3 linked regions of the Canis lupus familiaris genome follow. The protein of the gene in region 2 purifies or fractionates together with the protein of the main gene of each other region. This does not show direct contact. Links are inferred from orthologs where the notes say so. Each region holds a gene or a part of one and is shown on either strand. Other genes may lie near its edges. The genes, in order: LLGL1, PRKCZ and NIPSNAP2.

The links.
Region 1: the proteins of PRKCZ (region 2) and LLGL1 purify together in Homo sapiens (affinity purification with mass spectrometry; 6 studies listed by BioGRID and IntAct, counting the BioPlex papers as one, with this or other methods). This does not show direct contact. The link is inferred for Canis lupus familiaris from reciprocal best matches to the Homo sapiens genes PRKCZ and LLGL1.
Region 3: the proteins of PRKCZ (region 2) and NIPSNAP2 purify together in Homo sapiens (affinity purification with mass spectrometry; 3 studies listed by BioGRID and IntAct, counting the BioPlex papers as one, with this or other methods). This does not show direct contact. The link is inferred for Canis lupus familiaris from reciprocal best matches to the Homo sapiens genes PRKCZ and NIPSNAP2.

What each region holds. Positions count from the first base shown.
Region 1 is NC_049226.1:41,539,915-41,543,557, forward strand, and holds part of LLGL1 (lethal(2) giant larvae protein homolog 1), read right to left. Parts: intron 3,106-3,643; coding exon 3,008-3,105; intron 889-3,007; coding exon 807-888; intron 715-806; coding exon 584-714; intron 1-583. UniProt on the Homo sapiens protein: Cortical cytoskeleton protein found in a complex involved in maintaining cell polarity and epithelial integrity. Involved in the regulation of mitotic spindle orientation, proliferation, differentiation and tissue organization of neuroepithelial cells.
Region 2 is NC_049226.1:57,564,863-57,568,505, reverse strand, and holds part of PRKCZ (protein kinase C zeta type), read right to left. Parts: intron 3,068-3,643; coding exon 3,015-3,067; intron 2,605-3,014; exon of another isoform or gene 2,553-2,604; coding exon of another isoform or gene 2,460-2,552; intron 432-2,459; coding exon 243-431; intron 1-242. UniProt on the Homo sapiens protein: Calcium- and diacylglycerol-independent serine/threonine-protein kinase that functions in phosphatidylinositol 3-kinase (PI3K) pathway and mitogen-activated protein (MAP) kinase cascade, and is involved in NF-kappa-B activation, mitogenic signaling, cell proliferation, cell polarity, inflammatory response and maintenance of long-term potentiation (LTP).
Region 3 is NC_049227.1:362,748-366,843, forward strand, and holds the start of NIPSNAP2 (protein NipSnap homolog 2), read left to right. Parts: upstream 1-1,171; 5' UTR 1,172-1,235; coding exon 1,236-1,327; intron 1,328-1,665; exon of another isoform or gene 1,666-1,790; coding exon of another isoform or gene 1,791-1,798; intron 1,799-4,096. UniProt on the Homo sapiens protein: Protein involved in mitophagy by facilitating recruitment of the autophagy machinery required for clearance of damaged mitochondria.

The sequences.
Region 1 (3,643 bases), about 16 Mb from region 2:
AGCCCTGGAGCAGGAGTGGGCGCAGCACCCCTGGCTGAGTCTCCCCCCAACCGTGAGAGCTGAATGTGGGGGGGGGTATCACCCAGCCCCCAGCAGGGGCAGGACAAGCCTCCCACTGAGGCCGTATAGAAATCCGGAAGCTACTCTGACCGCTTTGGCAAGGGCCAGCAGGGCCAGGGACATGCCCATCGGGGGGCCAGGCCCACTCCACTCCCCTACAGTGTCCTGCTGGCACCTTCACAGCCTGATGGGACCCTCCTTGCCCCCAAACCTGCCCATCCAGCTACACACACTATGGCCTGTTGCCCCAGCCCCAACCGTTAAAAGGCCCCAGTGGTCGCCGGAGCATGGACACTACGTGCTCACCTCAGACTCAGCCAGAGTCCCCTATTTAACACCCGCCACGTCCATGTGGCACATCTCTCCAAGATCGGGCCCAGCTCGATGTACTCTTCACCCTGAACTCTAGCACAGGGGCAGCTTTGTGTGCCCACAGTGCTTCTGCAAGGCTGGCTCCAACCACGTCCAGCAGGCTCCACACCCCCATGCCCGGCAGCAGGTCCCCAGTCAAGTCCTCCAGTACCTGGCACTGTCAAAGCCCGGCCGACTAGGTGGCTGGAAGCTGAGCGCTTCCTCCAGGTGGGCGCAGCCATGGTGGTGGACAATCTCCCAGAGGTGAAGGCTGCTATCATCCAACAGAGTTAGCAGGCGGCCCTGGGGGATGAGCAGAGACCGAGCCTGGGCTGGGCTGGGCTGGGGTGGGGAGGGTGTGGGGGCTGTGGGAGTGGGCAAGGGTAGAGGCTCACCTGGCCGGGTAGGAAGTGCATCTGGGTGACGGTGGCTGTGTCCCGGTGTAGGCCAGTGAACTCCACACCAGGTGCACCATAGCTGCATGCACAGGTCAAGGACAGAGGCAGACACCGGAGATCCTCCTTCCCAAGAGCCATTCCAACAGGTCCCAGCCAGCCCAGCCTTCTGAGGTCCAGATGGGACCCCTCCTCCAGAAAGCACTGCCTTGTACCCACAAGATATCCCCAGGCTCTGAGCGCAGGCTTTGCTCTGCTCCTGCAAGTTGGTGCTGCTGTGTGACCTTCACTTCCTCATCTGTAGGATGGGCTGGTGAGCCCCACTCTCACCTTGTAGGACTGATGCAGGGCAAGTGAGAATAAAAACAGCTAGCACACTTGGCCCAGGCCTGGCACATGGTCAGCGTCCCGCTCTGTGTCAGCCTAGTGTGTGCTCCCACGTGCATAAGAGCTAGGCCCCACAGGTTGGGAGCACACAGGCAGAGGGGCCAGGCCAGGCCTGGGCACAGAAGCCTGGGGCAGAGGAGAGAGTCCAGGCTGCCTCTTCCCACAGCTCCAGGTCAACCTCCAGTTATGGACAAGGAAACCAACCTCCCTCCAGGGCAGGCAGCCAGTGGCCCCCACTGTGACCGGGGAGAGGCTTCGGCCTGCCCATTTCACAGACAATACACAGAGGCTTGGAAAGGGGTGAGCTGTCTCAAGTGCCAGGTGCCAGCACCAGAGTCACAGTAGCTCCAGGTTGGACAGTGGTCAGGCAGGGGGCCTTGGGAGGGAGGGCTGAGAGGGGTCAGCGTTGCCCGGCAACAACACAGGAGCCCTTGCTTCCAGCCAGAGTTGGGATTCCCTGCAGGAGCCAGGAGAACACAGAAGAGGGGACAAAAGAGAGGGCAGGAGCTGCTGGGCGGGAACCAAGGTTGCCAAGGAGACGGGCTGCCCCTGAGGGGGAGGGGTGGCTTCTGGGGCCAGCCTCAGTTTCCCAACCCAAGGCTCCAGGCTAGGGTAGTTTGGGGGAAGAAACGAGGGGAGAGAGGAGAGCCCCAGCCTCCTCCTCTGAGGCTGTCTCCTGGTCAGTACATCAGGTTCTTTGTGAGCACAAGGAGCACGGAGGGATGGCTCCAGTGACTAACGGAGTTGCAGGGCGCAGGGCACTGAGCAGCCACTGACAGGGAGAAAGGGGCTTCAGGAACACGATATACACGAGTGAGCAGGACTGCAGCGTGGGGGCGGGCAGAGGCCAGGCAATGCACGGCCCCCAGGGCCAGTGGGGGCTCAGGGGCGGGGGTCCAGGCCCTGTCCCTCCCCACCCCACTCCCTGCTCCGCTGGGGCCTCAGGGGCCCGTGGGAGTGGAGGGGCATCCCTGTCCAGCCACACTCCCCAGAGAAGGCAAACTCAAACCACAGGCCCAGGCACCCACCCCTGTCGGGCCACCTTGCCCTGGAGAGGGAAGACCCCAGGCACTGACTCATTTTGCTGCCAACCAGTGTCCCTGGCGAGGGTACTGAGAGCCAGAGAAGTGAGGGAGAGCACCCCTCACCCAGCAGCCCCCAGCCAGGCCCTCCACCTGGGTTTTCCCACCCAAGGGGCTTCATGGAGAGCAGCAGGGGTGGGGTTCTCCACTGCAGGCAGGGAGGCATTCAGCTGCCTGCTTGCCCCTCCAGCACCCCCCCCCCCACCCTGTGCCTGCAGGAAAATGCCCGCTTTGTGTGGCTCACACGGCCCATTGTGCAGCCGCCAGCACCCAGGTGGGGGCCGCGCAGCGCTCACCATGCTGAGCCTGGCACGGCCCCCAGCCTCTCGGCTCAACACATGTGTCTTCACACTTGCACACACGAGTGTCTGGTCACTGGAGCCAGGCCCACTGTGAGACCCTGGCCCACCAGCCACCCTTGCGGGGGTACAGTGTATGACCAGTGTCCTGGCCCAGCATCCCCAGTCAGTTGCTGGGACGATGGCAGGGTTGCCTAGGTAACTGGCTAGCTGAAATGCAGCTAGGGACAGCTGTGACCACCGCCAGCTGACCCCTCCCCCACAAACACTTCTGTAAGGAAGAGACTCAGGGCAGAGGCCACACCAACCTCCACCAGAACCCCTGCGCCAACTGCAGCCTCCAGGGCCGGGCCGGGCCCAAAGAGCCTGTACACAGGGGGCTGCAAGCAGGAGGTCCTGATGGGCCCTGAAGGCCATGGTTCGAAAAGGATACATCTTGACGGCCCCGGACCTTGTGCCGATGGCCATGATGCGAAGCTCTGAGTCGAAGGCCAGGGCGCTGGGCTGGTTGGGGAAGCCATGCTCCACAGTCTGCAGGGGGCGGGAGGGCATTGGCACAGGCACTGCCCCCCTCCCCCGCCCACCTGAGGCCCACCCCAAGGCAGCCTCCACACTAGCAGAGCTGCACAATAGACCCGTGCCTCAGTGTTCTCAGCTCTAAAACAGGCGATCACACCTCCAATCCACATGGCAGAGGCCTGCCCCCGGCCAAGGCTTTGTCCTTCACACCTGTGTCCGGCCCGCTGTGTGCAGGGCTCTGGCAACAGAGAGAAGCAGGACCCACAAGGTACCAGCAGAGTCAGCCCTACCCATCCCATGGAGTAGGCGTCTGCACCCTGCTCCGGGAGGAGAGGTGCCATGCCCTCTGAGGCCCACCAGCCCCACATGGAGATGGGAGGGCAGCACCTGGATCAGCTAGGTCAAGGCTCTTGACCCTCTCCCTCCCCCAGGGCCCCTCCTCCTGGTAGGGCCAGCCACAGGGCAGACCCCTGCCCACCAGGTTCTTGCTCCTTCCTTCCACTCACTACCCGCTCGTGCTTTCCTTAGTTTTCCCACAACCACCAAGGAA
Region 2 (3,643 bases):
CAAGTCCAGGGACAGAGGGCAGATGAGCAGTGCCAGGGGCTGAGTGCTCATGGACATGGTGTTTCCCTCTCGGGGGATGAAGGTATCTGGAATGAGATACCAAAGGCCACATGGACGTGAAGTTTAATATGGTTAAAATGATGAGTTTTGTTACGTGCATTTTACTTCTATTGGAAGAAAGAAGCACTGGAAGCCAGGATGAAGACCCCAGAGAGGAAGCTCGAGCCGGCGCCTGCACTCACCTCATCATCGTGCACCAGCTCCTTCTTTACCACCTTCATGGCATACATCTGGTCGTTCTTCTTCAGTCGGACCAGGAGGACTTTGGCGTAGCTCCCACGCCCAATGACCCTGATCAGGTCAAAATCCTGCAGCCCGAGCCCCTGAGATATTTTGATTCCATCCATCCCATCGATAACTGGCTTGAGGTCCTGAGGACAGGAGAGAAAGTGCAAAATAACAAGACTCCTCCCAGGCGAGGCTGATGTCCCCGAGTGGGCCCTGGAGCTCAGAGTGCAGTTCTGCTCACGGCCCTGACCCCACAGCCACCCCACACCCACCATTCTCAGACCCTGGCCACTCCATGAGCAGGTGGGTGCCCAGGGCCAACCTCCCATCCACCCAGGGCTCTCCTGGGGGCTATGGAGTTTAGATAGCTGATGTCTGCAAAGCCTGGCCATGCCCTGAGCAAGGGCTACTGGAAACACAAAATGAAAGAGAAAGATGATCCAATTAGGAAAAGGAGCTTCCCTCCTATGGATTATTTCCAGTAAGGCTATTTCTCGTGTGGGCAGGAGGTAACTAAGTGCTGACATGTCCCAGACACAGAATGGCCAGGTAGAAAAGCCAGGGGACATTTGTCAGTTACTCTGGGAAAGCTTTGGCCCTTGCAAGGTAGGGCTGTTCTGAAGTTCTGGACAGAGGCTGCAAACTCCAGCTGGTGGGACTTCCTCACTCAAGAGAACAATCTCATATGCCTCACTTGTCACCCAGAGCTGGCCACACATTCAAGGCCAAACTGAACCTCTTGGTCCAAATCTGGGGAAGAAGACAAACAGGCAGCAGAGGGCTTTCCCAGAACAGAAGGAGCAAATCACGATCCCAGGGTTTATGCTTAACGAGACAACTTTGGAGAAGCTCCAGGCCACCTAAAGACGGGGATAGGTTCTCAGGGGTTGCCAGGGGGACCAACTGCAGGGTGAGAAGCTTGGAACTCAGTCTCACCCGCTGACCTCCAGGGATGCGAGAGGGGCTGGGGATTGAGCCCATTCTCTACCATCCAATGACTAAACCAATCATGCTCCTATTATGAAGTCTCCTAACAAATCCCCAAGGACAGTATCTGGAGAGCTTCAGGTGGGTGAACGTGTGGAGGTAAGCCTGGACAGGGTACAGCAGCTCTGTCCCCTTTCCCATCCCTGGCCCTGTGCAGCTCTTCCTTTGGGTTCTTTCTGAGCTACATCCTTTTATCATAAACCAGAAATCTATTAAGCAAGATGTTTCTCTGAGTTCTGTGAGTTGCTCAAGCAAACTAAAAGAACCCACTGAAAGGGTCATGTGAACCTGATTTACAGCTGGTTGGTCAGAAGCACAGGTGACCACTTGGCCTGCAAGTGGCACCTGAAGGGGGGCAGTCTCATGGGCCTGAGCCCTTGAGAGGCTCCTGTGGGAGCAATGCCAGCTCCAGGTAGTTGGCGTCAGGACTGACTGGAATTGCAGGGCACCTGACCAGTGTTCCCCAAGCACTGGAGAATTGCTTAGTGATGTGGAAAAAGCACAAAAGACAAATAAAGGAAGGGTTTTATGCAAATAAAATTTCACAAAAATTGCAGCTCAAGAGTCAGCTCTGGACCCACTCCACCATCTGGGCAGAGGGGGTGCTGGGGAAACCAAACCCACAGCAGATATGGTGCCACAGCCGGGCCCCAGAGAGCAGCCTCTGGAAGATTCATAGAGGATGTGCCCCAAGCAAGACTGAGCTACGACAAGGCAGCAGCCCATCCTTCTGCAGCCAGGTCCTGGGCTGCACATACCCCTCTCCTCTTTGCCCCCAACAGACCAAGCTCTCCATACTGCACACCCCATCCACCAAAGCTAGAGGGCCCTGTGGCCCGGGTGGGCAGTGACCGCGGGAGCAGCATCCTGTTGCTTCATGAGGTACCAACTTCCCAGGGATGGGACACTCCTCCTGTGACAGGATACAAAAAGTAGTTGGAGAAAATGGAGGCATTTGAGCCTTGGGAGTGAGTGGAGAATCAAGTTACTAGCAAATCTGGTGAGCATCCACCAATATACCTCTGACCCTGGCCCACCTGGCCATAAACCTGCCCGACTCAGGACAAAGGCCAGACTATGACAGGTGATCCCTCCACACGGAGCCCTGCAGACGCTTGCAGCCAAGCAAGAGATTAAGACAATAAAAAGCAAGTGACCCACTCCCCAGGGAGCAGCCTCATTACCTGTTCTCGAAGCACATAAGCGGGGCTCTCCTTGCAGCCCCCTGGGGAGCCCAGGCCACCCTGTGCTGATGTGGGAAGAGCCACACCGACCATGGGTGTTGCGGAGGGCTCCCTATGTGCCAGGTGTGGCTGGGCATGCACACAAACACTCTCTGTACACTCACAGAAAGGTGTGGTCATTATCCAACTTGACAAAAGCAGATTCTGAGGTCAGTGAGTCCCCTGCCCCAGGACACTGCATCTTCCAATTGTACAGAGCCAGGAACAGTACAACGGACATTGTGTCCTCACACCTAAGATGCAGCAACAGCTCAGGTCTGCCACACCTAATAGCTTGGAGAGTCCTTCTGCATTAAATATTGGAGACTCCGTGCCACTCGGCCCTGAAGTCTTGGCCGGTGCCACCTGAGGTCCACAGACCACACCCTCACCTGCAGTGAGTGACAACTCTCAAACCTGCCTTGTTTATACTGAAATTTCCATAATTTCCTCAAAAATGAGCTAACAAACTTCTAAAAAAAAATTGGAAACTAATGAGCCATTTCATAGACTCACCTCAGAATCATCTTTAATGTTGTCGTGTTTCCGGGTTGAAGAAATGTAAGCAACTAGTGAGGAGAGAAAGAAAGTGGACATTGCAGGCATTGTCAGGACTGCAGCCTGAGACACAGGGATCCTGAGGCCCCTCACTGGTCACAGACACCAGCAGCCCAGCTAGGCCAGCCGCGCTCAGGCTGGACCACGGGCAGCCACACCTCACCCAGAGGCCTCAGGAAACGTGCTTCTTGGTCCCACCCACATCTGACTGTACACCTCTGGGGCAGAGCTTGGGAACCTGTGATTGTGACGGGTTTTCCTCAGTGATTCACCTGGAAGTAATTATTCACCAGATTTCAGTGTCTAGCCTTCCAGATGTTGTTCTCAGTGTGTGCAGGTGGGTGGGAGAGGGGATGGATGGAAGGATGGATGCATGGGTGGATGGATGAGTGGATACGTGGGTGGCTTGTTGTTTCTTAGGAGCCTCCTTTGTGTGAGGTACTGTGCTAAGTGATTTATGTTCTGCGGTCTCATTTCATCCTTCAAGGGCTCTCAGGGCACACAGGTCACACTGACCATGTGAGGGCTCAGGCTCTGAATAGTGCACACGCTTTGGGAGCTCAGAGTGGGGCTATTGGTCCAACTAG
Region 3 (4,096 bases), on a different chromosome or scaffold from region 2:
TTGTTTCCCAGAGTTAGGAGTCTCTCATGGTTTGTCTCCCTCTCTGATTTTTCGCACTCAGTTCCCCTCCTTTCCCTTATAATCCCTTTCACTATTTCTTATATTCCCCATATAAGTGAAACCATATGATGTTTGTCCTTCTTCGATTGACTTACTTCACTCAGCATAATACCCTCCAGTTCCATCCACGTCGAATCAAATGGTAGGTATTCATCCTTTCTGATGTCTGAGTAATATTCCATTGTATACATATAGCATATCTTCTTTATCCATTCATCTGTCGAAGGACATCAAGCTCCTTACACGGTTTGGCTGTTGTGGACGTTGCTGCTATGAACATTGGGTGCAGGTGTCCTGGGTTTCACTACATCCGTATCTTTGGGGTAAATTCCCAGCAGTGCAATTGCTGGGTGTAGGGTAACTATTTTTAACTCTGAGGAACCTCCACACAGTTTTCCAGAGTGGCTGCACCAGTTCACATTCCCACCTACAGTGCAAGAAGATTCCCCTTCTCCACATCCTCTCCAACATTTGTTGTTTCCTGTCTTGTTATTTTCGTCATTCTCACTGGTGTGAGGTGGTATCTCATTGTGGTTTCGATTTGTATTTCCCTAATAAAAAGCAATGCGGAGCATTTTCTCATGTGCTTGTTGGCCATGTGTATGTCTTTAGAGAAATTTTTGTTCATATCTTCTGCTCATTTCATAACTGGACTTATCAAACTCAGCACCCAAGCAACAAACAATCCAGAACGTTTTTTTTTTTGTTTTTTTTGTTTGTTTGTTTTAAGATCTTATTTATTTATTCATGAGAGACACAGGCAGAGACACAGGCAGAGGGAGAAGCTGGCTCCATGCCGGGAGCCTGACGTGGGACTCGATCCCAGGACCCAGGATCAGGCCCTGGGCCGAAGGCCACGCTAAACCGCTGAGCCGGGCCGGTACTGTACAGTAACGTCTGCTCATATTTCTCCTGCGCAGGCGGGTCACGACACCCAGCTTCTTCCGCAGGGGGCGATGTCCTCTCCTGCTTCGCCGTCAGTTGCCCCTGGCGGCCCCGCCCTCACCCCGGCGGCCCCGCCCCGCCCCGCCCCGCTCGGCGGGCCCCGCCCTCCGCCCCACCCCCGCCTCGGCGGGCCGGCCGGGGGAGGGGTCGCGGTGGTGGCCGTGGGGCGGCGGCGGCGTCGGCGGCGTCAGCGGCGGCCCGCGCGGCGGGAGCCCAGGCGCCAGAGCAAGATGGCGGCGCGAGTCGTGCAGGCCTGCGGAGCGGCCTGGGCCGGCGGCGTCCTGCGGCGGGCCGCTCCCTGCAGCCTGCAGCCTGCGCTCCGGTGAGCAGCGCTGCCCCTCCCGGGACCGGCCGGGGAGTGGCCGCCAGGGCGGAGGGCGCGGGTCCACGGCCCGCTAGCGCTCCCTCGAGCAGGCCCGCCGGGGCAGCGGGGGCCGGGCCGGGCCGGGCGGGCGGGGCGGCTGAGGGCCTCGGCACAGTCAGAGCGCGGTCCCGGCCGTCGTGCTCAAGGTCACGGCGGGGACGGCGCCCGGTGCCCAGGCCACGTCCGCGCGCCGTGTGGGCCTGGCCTGGGGGACCTTGACCCGGCGCGACCCCAGGCCCTGGACTCGGCATCCGGCTGCCCGCGGGCGCCCAGGGCGGGCTGTGCGCAGGGCCTGGGGTCCGCTCTGCGAGGGCGCTGCGGACAGCACGAGCTCCAGGGGGAAGAAGAGCGCCTGCCGGTGAGCCCCGGGAGCGCGGGGCCGTCGCGGGGTGGGCTCGACGCTGCCGGCCGCCGGAGTGGGATGGAGAAGTAGGTGACGGATCAGAAAGGTTTTACAAGGCATCAGCCCCAAGTAGGCCTTGGGTTCAACTTTAAACTTTTTCTAGCCTCTGTGGATTAAATATTCGGCTCTCCTGAATTCATCCCTCTGACACATCCATGTCCTGTTTTCCATCAAAAACCAAGCTCCTACTGACTTACATAGATTTGCTTTCTTGCTTTCTTTACATTTATCATTTAAACGTTATCTGTGGTTTAATAACGAGCCTCTAGAACTAAATTCAGTTGCTGCTTAACGAAAGAGTAAAGGGACTGCCTGTTCTTTAAACTCTTATTATGGGCCAGAGAGTTTATTTAATTTAATCCTAGTACCAATCTTAAGTAACAGGATCTGCATTTTATAGATGAGACGTAATCTCCATGGAGGTGAGACCTCTAGCTGGAAAAGGCATTTGAACTCAAGTTTATCAGGCTTCAGGCCTGGCACCCTTCCTAGGACTGATGTCCAGCTTGAGTTTCCAACTTTTTTTTTAAAGATTTATTTATTTATGATAGACACAGAGAGAGAGAGGCAGGCAGAGACACAGGAGGAGGGAGAAGCAGGCTCCATGCCAGGAGCCTGATGCGGGACTCGATCCCGGGTCTCCAGGATCGCGCCCTGGGCCAAAGGCAGGCGCCAAACCGCGGAGCCACCCAGGGATCCCCCTTGTGTTTCCAAATTTGATGTTTATGTTTCCAAGTTGATGAACAAATCAACCTTTTATTTTCATTCTGTTACTGAGCATCTGCTGTGTGTCTTATTTTTTTTCACACAGGTGATAAGAAACTATGAAATTCATATTTTCTTTTTTCCAAAAAGACCCAGCATATTCACCTATAGATCCCATAGTCACAAAACTAGTAAACTGGAGATTTGGACCTGGGTCTGCCCAGTACCCCCACTTCTTGTGGGGCCAAATGCTCTTGAAACTGAAGCCCAACATGTCAGCTCTTGGATTACTCTCTCAGGCCCCTTGTATCTTTTGACTGCCTTAACTGTAGATGTTCTTTAGGACTCAGTCTAGACCCAATTAATTCACTGCTTCTACAAATACTGAATGTATATGAATGTATATGTTTTTGAAGTTTTGTGGAACTCAGCATAATAGTCACTATGGGTCACTATGCCCAGCAAGCCATATGGCAGAGGTAAAAACCCATACAGACTTAAAGATTGAGGTAGGTGGTGTGAGAGAACCTCAGGGAACCTACCACATGAAATCATGGAAGGCCTCTCCAAGAAGGTGCCGTTGAGCTGAAACCTGAAGGGTCAGTGTGCAGGAAAGCCCTGACTGGGAAGGAGTGAGGCATACCAGCAAGCTCCAGAAAAGCCTAGGAAGGGGAGCATAGTAAAGGGAAGAGAGGCTAGAAGACAGGTGGCAGGGAGCAGTAGCCCCATAATTCCAGGCCTTGCAAGCCATTTTAGAGAGTTTGGAATTTATACTGAAAGCCATGGAAGACATTTAAAGATATAAATTCTAGTGTGACAGGATCTGGCCTGTGTTTTTAACATACCAGTCTGATTTGGAAAGCAGACAGAATCAAGGGTCGTGGCCAACTGGGCAGATGCTGGTGCCATTTCCTGAAAGTCCCTTGTTCTATAGGCATATGAGTGCCCATAATGTGCCAGGTGCTGTTGGGAAATATCAGTGAATAAAGTTGTTGCCATCTGGGAGCTTGCTCCTAATTCAGAGAAGGAAGAACAGGAAGGGGGAATCCAGAGCACTTCTGAACCTGGTAAAGTTGGAGATGGCTGTGAGCTATTCAAATGGAAAGGTATTTGGCCTATTTGATCTTTTTGACTCTTCAAAGGAGATGTCTGGACTACAGGTTACATTTGGGAGTTGTCAGTATATAGGAATGCTAAATGTTGATAGATATGTAGGTTTTGTTATACTGTTTTGCATTTAATTGAAAATCTTCTTAACAAAACATTATTCATAGGAATGGATGAGATTGCTTGAAGAGTGTGGATAGAGAAAGGGCTGAGAGGGATCCCTGGGTGGCGCAGCGGTTTGGCGCCTGCCTTTGGCCCAGGGCGCGATCCTGGAGACCCGGGATCGAATCCCACGTCGGGCTCCCGGTGCATGGAGCCTGCTTCTCCCTCTGCCTGTATCTCTGCCTCTCTCTCTCTCTCTCTCTCTCTCCCCCTCTCCCCCTCTCCGTGTGACTATCATAAATAATAAATAAAATCTTAAAAAAAAAAAATAAAGACCAGCATATAAGAATTTAAAAAAAAAAAAAAAAGAGAAAGGGCTGAGAAACAGGCTTTGAGATGTCAACCTCCAC